Ovis aries: one gene and its partner. The protein of the gene in region 2 purifies or fractionates together with the protein of the main gene of each other region. This does not show direct contact. Links are inferred from orthologs where the notes say so. Each region holds a gene or a part of one and is shown on either strand. Other genes may lie near its edges.

The links. The genes of interacting proteins can lie anywhere in the genome.
Region 1: the proteins of EN1 (region 2) and transducin-like enhancer protein 1 purify together in Homo sapiens (affinity purification with western blotting; 4 studies listed by BioGRID and IntAct, with this or other methods). This does not show direct contact. The link is inferred for Ovis aries from reciprocal best matches to the Homo sapiens genes EN1 and TLE1.

The regions. Positions count from the first base shown.
Region 1 is NC_056055.1:55,247,833-55,251,478, forward strand, and holds part of transducin-like enhancer protein 1, read left to right. Parts: intron 1-760; coding exon 761-824; intron 825-938; coding exon 939-983; intron 984-3,646. UniProt on the Homo sapiens protein: Transcriptional corepressor that binds to a number of transcription factors. Inhibits NF-kappa-B-regulated gene expression. Inhibits the transcriptional activation mediated by FOXA2, and by CTNNB1 and TCF family members in Wnt signaling.
Region 2 is NC_056055.1:184,154,751-184,159,177, reverse strand, and holds the start of EN1 (homeobox protein engrailed-1), read left to right. Parts: upstream 1-1,612; 5' UTR 1,613-1,654; coding exon 1,655-2,552; intron 2,553-3,449; exon of another isoform or gene 3,450-3,575; intron 3,576-4,427. UniProt on the Homo sapiens protein: Required for proper formation of the apical ectodermal ridge and correct dorsal-ventral patterning in the limb.

The DNA.
Region 1 (3,646 bases), about 130 Mb from region 2:
TGTTTCTATGAAATCATGGTTGATTAGAGCTAAGAAATAACTGTAATGACAGGTTTTGTTTTTATCATGCCCCCAAGAAAGCACACAGCTGCTTGGGTGTGAACTTTCTTATTTTTGTCAGAGGCTTTCTGATTATTGACCTTTGTCTACTTGAAGATAATAATCTCTAGAGCTTGAAGCATCCCTGCCCACACCATGTTTGCCAGGAAGGGAGGATGTCAGCCCACTTTAATTGCAGAAGCTATATGACATATTTTGGCAGTGAATTAAAAAATAAAGGTATTAAAAGGGACCAACAATTGTAGAAGTAACTTTACAGGTACAGTTTTCAAACCAAGAGACTGAGTTGGCAGAGGTGACACAGCCTATGCCTGAGACTGAAGGTTATACAAAGGCCAGATTTTGGTTAAGTCCAGGGAAGCGAACTTTGATGCAGTGAAGCAAGTAGGAGTGAATAGATGACCATGAGGAGAATTCAGTCTTCTGAGTAGATCAGAGGTTTTGACAGATCTTTTGGTCTTGGCATCAGACCAGGTGTGCATGAAGAAGGAAAAGCTTAGTTTTTAAGTGGATACCTTGCACTATTCCTCTTACTCCTTTTCCCCATTTAATGCAAGGACAAAGCTTTTGGGTGTTTACCTAGATAGTTTATGGCTTTTCCAAATTGGTCTGTGTTTTTACTTGAAGTGCAAATATGTGAGGCAGATGTTAAAACAAGTGACATAATGTTTACATTAAGTTGCCTGTTTTGTTTTCGTAGCCTTAAATTGGAATGTGAGAAACTGGCAAGTGAAAAGACAGAAATGCAGAGGCACTATGTGATGGTAGGTATCAAAGATTAGGTTTTTTTCCGTTGTCATGTAATAGTAACAAATATGTGTTCTCGGCATTACAGAACATGAGTTAATGAAATACTTGGTTCTTTTTTCTTTTTACAGTATTATGAAATGTCATATGGATTAAACATAGAAATGCATAAACAGGTAAGCTTTAGTGAAGTCTCAAGTTGAAATGAGAAATAAAGTCATGATTCTGTAGTACTGGCTTTGTCCTCTGTAGTGGGAGGTATCTGCATGCCATATTTCAGCCTTGGTTTCCCTTCCTGCGAATTGGGGGTTAGTGTTCTGCAGCAAGAGCTGGTTCTTGACAGTTATAAAATGTTTTAAGTTACTAGGTGAGAGGTGCTTTGGAAGTGTAAACTAGCCTGTTTATAGGCAGATTGGAATCGAGGCTTTGACTTGACTTTACTGCCTGGATACATTTATTCTCTTGGAAGACCTGGATATCCTGTCAAGTTCTGAAGTTCAGAATAGCTAACGTTTTTGTGCTGATTTGGAAAGAAGTGTGGCCCTTTGGGGGAAAGACGGGTAATCAGGAGTTTCTTTACTCAGGTTAAACAAGGTATAAGACAGACTATGGAGTTTTGGGGGCTGCATAAAGCGACACTCAGGATTAGCGGCATATTTGCAAACAACTTTTTAATAAATGTCTCAGTTGATACAAGTTTGGAGGTGAAAAAAGCATCCTTTTATGACCACAGCGTATGTTGTGAGTTGCTTCAGTCCTAGTGGTTTTAAAAGCATGAAAAGATTAGTGACTGGAAAGCTCAAGCTATGACTATGAGTTTGCAAGTTCCCATAAAATTCACACTTATGGCTACAATAATGGTGTATAAAAAGAGTATTGAGCTGGAACAAGGCACTAAGGACCTCATAAGAGAAGAAAAGCTAAATGATTGCTCAGCCCAAAGGACTCTCGATTGAGTAGTCATTGTCTGCCAAAGAAAGCATTAATGGCAGGGTGTAAGTATTCTGGAGATATGCTGACATTCACTTTTTCATCAAGACTCTGGTACAATAAGTCTTTTAGAAATCGATTGCCTCTTAAAAAATTATCATCAGATGAAGTTGCACAGTTGGACACATTTCAAAGTGCAACAATACAATTCTTACTTGATGTATATGTGCTATTTCATCTCAAACCCTTGTTTCATTAAATTAAAGAGCATGGCTGACCGGCTGGGGCACAGTGGAGAAATTGATTAGTTCAGCCTTCAGATCTTCCTTATATTCAAAGACTTTCATTAAGCAAGTGTGTTTCAGAGTTGAATTCTGCTTTTGTAACTCCGCACTCTTTGATTTTTAATTCATCATAGATTTCATAATGTTATGTTATCATCATGTACCTTAGGTCTATTCTTAGATATGTGTTTGGAAGGAGATGGTTAAGTTCAAGGCTTTTCATTAGCAATGTAATGGGCCTTTAAAAATGCCAGTTCTATTCTGATTTGCAAAGTTGGTAGCCTAGTTTCTGTTGGGTTTGTGTCTTTGTTTCTGTGTGCTTAAAGGGGCCGGTGCCTGATTGAGGCAATTGTAACTTGTTGATAGTAATTATACTAAAAGGTATATGGTCATTTAAATGAATTATGCAAATAAACTTGGTGGAGGAGTTCTAATGTGCCGCTTTGTTTTTTTAAAGTTACCCTAAAGGCACATTTTTTCCCCCCAACAAATTTTCTGGAAGGGTAAGGAGGAGATTGAGCTTTCTCTTAAACTCATAACTCAAAGGATGTAATAACCTCACTGACTCCGTACAGGCGAACGCCACCTCTGTATGATGTGTATTGGTGCTGGATTTATTGGGGGAGCTACGGGAGGTGCGAAATTCTCCTGGGTTCCTGTAGGTTACTTGGTGGAGGACCTCTATCAAAAGGAAGAAGAGAGAAGGAGGATCAGGAGCCCCATGGTGTGAAACTAGTTTTCTAATGAGTTTCTGGACTCCATTGGGCATTTGTGGGTATATACTGTCTGTTCATGAGCCAGTATGCGTTAATAATATGCTGTGTATAATTGGCTCAGTAATTTGAAAAATGTGAAAAGCTGAGAGATGTTGTGTTCTCCATAGTAGGATATTAAGCCCCCTGAAATTTGGTTTGTATTGTAAATGCTGACAGACCCTTAACTAGAGTAGTATGCAAAGCCGTGCTGTAATTCAGTTTAAAGTGGCCTTACATTTGAAAAACATCCTTCTGAATGTCACACATTAATAATAAGTTCTGAGGAGGCATTTGGTGCAGCTAGTAATCATAATTCTTATTAAAACTGGTGACGTCTGGCCCCCAGGGTGTAGCCAGGCTCAAATTGATGCTTTTTGCCGCCTGATCACCAGCATGGCCTAAGTGCTCATTATATTGTAGAGAGGGCCTTTGGAGCTCTCATTAGATTTGACAGGAATTCTCTCTAGGGGGAAACTGGGCATTAGCAAGACTCCTGACAGGCTGAAATTAGTCCTGCTTTATGGCTTATAACCAAATGCTAGCAAGGCATCATCAGGGGACACAAAAAATTGTCATTTCTGACAACATCTTTGTTACTGGAAAAAAAAAAAAAGGTAGTGATGGGGAAACTTTCCATGGAGAGTGCTTTAATGTTGTTAAGATTTGTCTCCAGTGTGACGACCGCTCTCCTCCCCACCTTTCAGCGGTTTTGTTGAGGGGTGAGTTTGAGAGATTTCAGTGTCAAATCTCACCACCACCTTTTCCGTCTGGAAGTTTGAATGTGGAAGTACATCCAGATCAAGAATGGTGTAATTGTGGTTTCCTTAGCTGGTTTGGTGCCTGCAGTCCGTGTTTATGTTGTGTCAACAC
Region 2 (4,427 bases):
AGGAAAATCTGGGCTACTGGGGGAAATTCGCTGTCCAGCTGGCTAGGGCAAATACCAAGAGTGCAGTACTTTTATCCGCTGGATTTCACTTCGCGTGGAAATAGAAAACGGAGGTTTCCCTGAGCTCAAAAGCCAGGGCCTCGGGGGTATCCGCACCCTGACTTACTTGGCTCAGGACAACTGTAAGGTGCCCGGACCGCTCGACTCTGGCGGCCAGAAAAGGACTCTCTCGCGCCCTCTGGACCTGGCTTAATGGCGGCGGGACAGCTCCTAGGGGTTGTCAAAGGTCCCGCCAGGGAAGGGCATGGGTACGGAAACCCCGGGAAGGGCACGCAGTGCAGCCGGCCAACATCCACTACAACCCTACAAACCTAGCTAGGCGCAGCTGGCCGCTGGCGTTTGCTACTTGTGAAAAATAAACCGCTCCACTGAAAGTAGCCAAATCTACGTCTGTTTCACGTCTCCGACCACCCTCGGTTCACCTCTCCCCACCCCACACCCCCCACTCCCCAAACACACACCATATACACACAGACTCCGACAGTGATAGCACTCTTTCACCCTTAATAACGAGCAAGAAAAAGCTAGAGCGAGAAAATAAACGGCTGTTTCTTAGGCATGGGGGTTGCCAAAAGAGCCGATGCCGCTGCCTCCTGATCCTGCGCCTGTACGGACGCACTCATAATTCTGCATTTCTCCAACAAGTTGTTTATGGAGTTGTCTATTTGCGTACACCCCGCAATCCACCCCTTCTCGGTCTCCTTTGCCCCTTCCTCGGTCCTGGCCTGAAAGAGGGGGAGGGGCTCGGGTGCGGATAAGGGAGGGAGGGCCGGACACACGGGGCCCGCGCCGCGGCTCCCCCTCTCCGCCCGCGGCCGCCGCCCCCGGATTATTTATCCGCAAAGTCCCGCGCGCGCCTATTGGGCCGAGGCCCGGGTGTCAGCGCGAGTCCTGGCTCGCCATTGGCCCCGCACACGTGCGGCCCTGACTCACGTGCTTCCGGTTTGAAGGCAAAAAGTGTGCCTGGGTGATTTTTTTTTAAGCGAGAGAGTTTGAGCAAAGATCCGAGCTGTCAGAGATTTGAAAAAAAAAAAAAAAAAAAGCAGCCCCGGCGCTGGCGGAGACGCGCTCTCCCTGCAAAAAAAGCAAAGGCGATTAAAGGCGCTGCCAGCCTCGCGCTCTGGGCACAGCTGAGCGTGACACTCGGGGAAGTCAAACCCCTCACTACTGCCTAGGAAAATGGCTAGACTTTAAAGACTATTTTTTTTTTTTATCTTTAAGAAAAAAAAATTCTTGGAGATTTTTTTCTTGCTTTTTCCTTTCCTGTTTTTTTTTTTTCTTTATTTTTAGCCGTGGCTTACTCCCCATTTAAAACAAATTGATTCTGGTTGCAGAAAGAAAAAAGAAATAGCCAAGTGTCTCCATATCTGGATATCTACAAATTAGAGAGAGACAGCGAGATCTGCTCGATAAGAGCGAGAGATCCAGGCCAGGCGCCTGGGCTTTTTTTTCTGCACCCGCCCCGTGCCTTCGCTGGGGCTTTGCCGGCCTCCTTCCTCCGCACACCCCCACGGGCCGCTGGCAAAGTGGGGTGGGGAGCGAGGCGGGGGGGGCGGGGGCCGGCGCGGCGGCCGAGGCGGCGGGGCGGCCGAGCATGGAAGAACAGCAGCCGGAACCTAAAAGTCAGCGCGACTCGGGCCTCGGCGCGGCGGCGGCGGTGGCGGCGGCCCCCGGCAGCCTCACCCTGAGTCTCAGCCCCGGCGCAAGCGGCAGCAGCAGCAGCGATGGAGACAGCGTGCCGGTGTCCCCACAGCCTGCGCCCCCCTCGCCGCCCACGGCGCCCTGCCTGCCGCCCCTGGCCCACCACCCGCATCTCCCCCCGCACCCCCCGCCCCCGCCGCCGCCGCCGCCGCCGCCGCAGCAGCAGCAGCATCTCGCGGCGCCTGCTCACCAGCCGCAGCCCGCGGCCCAGCTGCACCGCACCACCAACTTTTTCATCGACAACATCCTGAGGCCGGACTTCGGCTGCAAAAAGGAGCAGCCGCCGCCGCAGCTCCTGGTGGCGGCGGCGGCGGCGGCCGGAGGAGGCACAGGCGGAGGCCGGGTCGAGCGTGACAGAGGCCAGACCGGCTCAGGTAGAGACCCCGTCCACCCGCTGGGTACGAGGTCGCCAGGCGCCGCCTCACTCCTGTGCACCGCGGACGGGAACTGTGGCCCACCCGACGGCTCCCCGCCAGCCACCGCCGGCGGCGCGGGCGCGTCCAAAGCTGGGAACCCGGCGGCGGCGGCGGCGGCAGCGGCTGCAGCAGCGGCCGTGGCGGCGGCGGCGGCGGCGGCAGCAGCGGCCAAGCCTTCGGACAACGGCGGTGGCAGTGGAGGCGGCGTGGGGAGTCCAGGTGCGCAGGGTGCCAAGTACCCGGAGCACAGCAACCCGGCCATACTGCTAATGGGCTCAGCCAACGGCGGGCCCGTCGTCAAAACTGACTCGCAGCAACCCCTCGTGTGGCCCGCCTGGGTCTACTGCACGCGCTACTCCGATCGCCCGTCCTCCGGTGAGTACCCAGCCCTAGGCTGCGCGGTGAACAGGCAGACGCCGGTAGAACTCTCAGCCGCCGGGCTGGGGAGAGCGTGCGGGCCGGATCCCGAGGGTTCTCTTTTCTCACGCCTGCTCTCTCATTTTCACCTTCGATTCCAGTCACTACCGACTGTTATACCGAGTTTTGCGTTCCCGGGCTCTGCGACTACCACCTGGGAGGTTACGGCTCAGGGTTACAGGGAGTGGATCCTTCGATTTTGAACTCCGAGCCCTTCTCGCCTTCTTTGTGTTTTACCTTTATTATTCTTAGTAAACACCCAATCAGTCATTGCTTTTTCTTCCAGGAAAAGGGGTTTTTAGAATCAGCGGGAAGGTGGGCCTAGCGATCTGGGTCTCAAATCCTGCGGAGGCCGAAACTGAGCAAGGCTTTGATTAGAGAAATTATCTTCGCTTTGTGTCGTTGCAGACATAAACACTGTATCGATATTTTCTGCGGAGAGATCATTTGCAAAGAGATAGATGTAAGGAGACACAGGAAGAAAGAGAAACGTGTCTGATAGCTGTCCTTCTTCGGCAAGCCGGGTAGCCAAAAGGGCCTGACCCGCCTGGGTAGAATCCAGGGAAAGGCGGTTTCGGAAACAGCGGGTGCCGAGAGCCCCTGGCTCCCGATTCTCTGGAACTGACAGATAAACGAGGGAGAGGACAGAAAATACCTTAGGCTCAGGCCAGAGACCTGGGCCGAGGGCATGAGAGCCAGCCCCCACCTCAGCTTCTCCGTGGCCGCCTGGCACATCCTCCCGGGCCCTGCCCCTTCCTTTTTTCACTCCTTCCTTCCGTACATCTGCCCGTTAGCAAATTTCTGCCAGCCATGGGCCCATTTTTCTCAATTTTCCTTTGGCCTTTCCCCACATACCTCTTTGAGTTTGGAGAACCCCAGGCCGAGAGGTACTCAGGGGCAGCCACGAGGCCCCTGGAGAGGAGGCTGTGGCCTGCCCGCCTCCGGGGACCGCAGCTCCCAGGAGGCTGATGGGCGCCTCGAGGAGGGCGGCAGGGGTTCTGGTCTACGATTGGGGTTCCGCGCCTGGGTCTGGCAGGAGGCCGGGCTGGCGTCGCCGTGTGGCGCTCCACTCCGAGTGGTCTCTGACTTCCCACCGCTGCTGGCCGGGCGCGGATCGATGAGCGCTATCAGCCCCCGCCATCTCGAGCCCCGTTATTGACACATCGGGCTCCCTGAACCTCCGAAAAGCTGCTTTGATTGACTCGCCTGATGGATAGAGTGATTGAGCTGTCAGGCTGTGCCGCTCAGGCTGGCCAGGAGGCTACGATTTTATTACAAGTGTTCATGCCTCTGCAAGGGCACCCATACACACAGTAACAACAACAACAACAACAAAACAATTGCAACAATGCTCTAACAACCTAAGGGATGCCCGTCTCACAATGGGGCCTTTCTGAGGTTGCACACATTTCCTGGGCCACTTCTGCTCGACCAGCTAATTACTAACCTAAACCAAGGCCTTCCTGGCCCCTCACCCCGCCTCCCAGTGCTTTCTGCATCGGGCTCAGGAGTGGGCCTTGTCTTTGTTCTTGGCTGCTTTCCTTCTTACAAACCTGGGGAGGCAGGGTGCTGGTTTCTAATCCTGCAGGGGCAGTTGAGGGAGAGGAACCTCAACCCAGTCTTGAGTTGCGGTGGTCGGCCAGGCCTGGACTCTTTTGTCACAGGACAGCTGGTGACCCCTGGCGCTGGACTGCCCCAGAGGCCAGCTGCCTGGTTTACCCCTCTGCCACTAGGTTTGGAGATGCCGGTGCAGACCCTTCTTTCCAGACAATTTTAGAGGTTAACAGGCCAGATAGGGACTTCGCGCAGCTCGGGAAGCTCCCATAATCATGA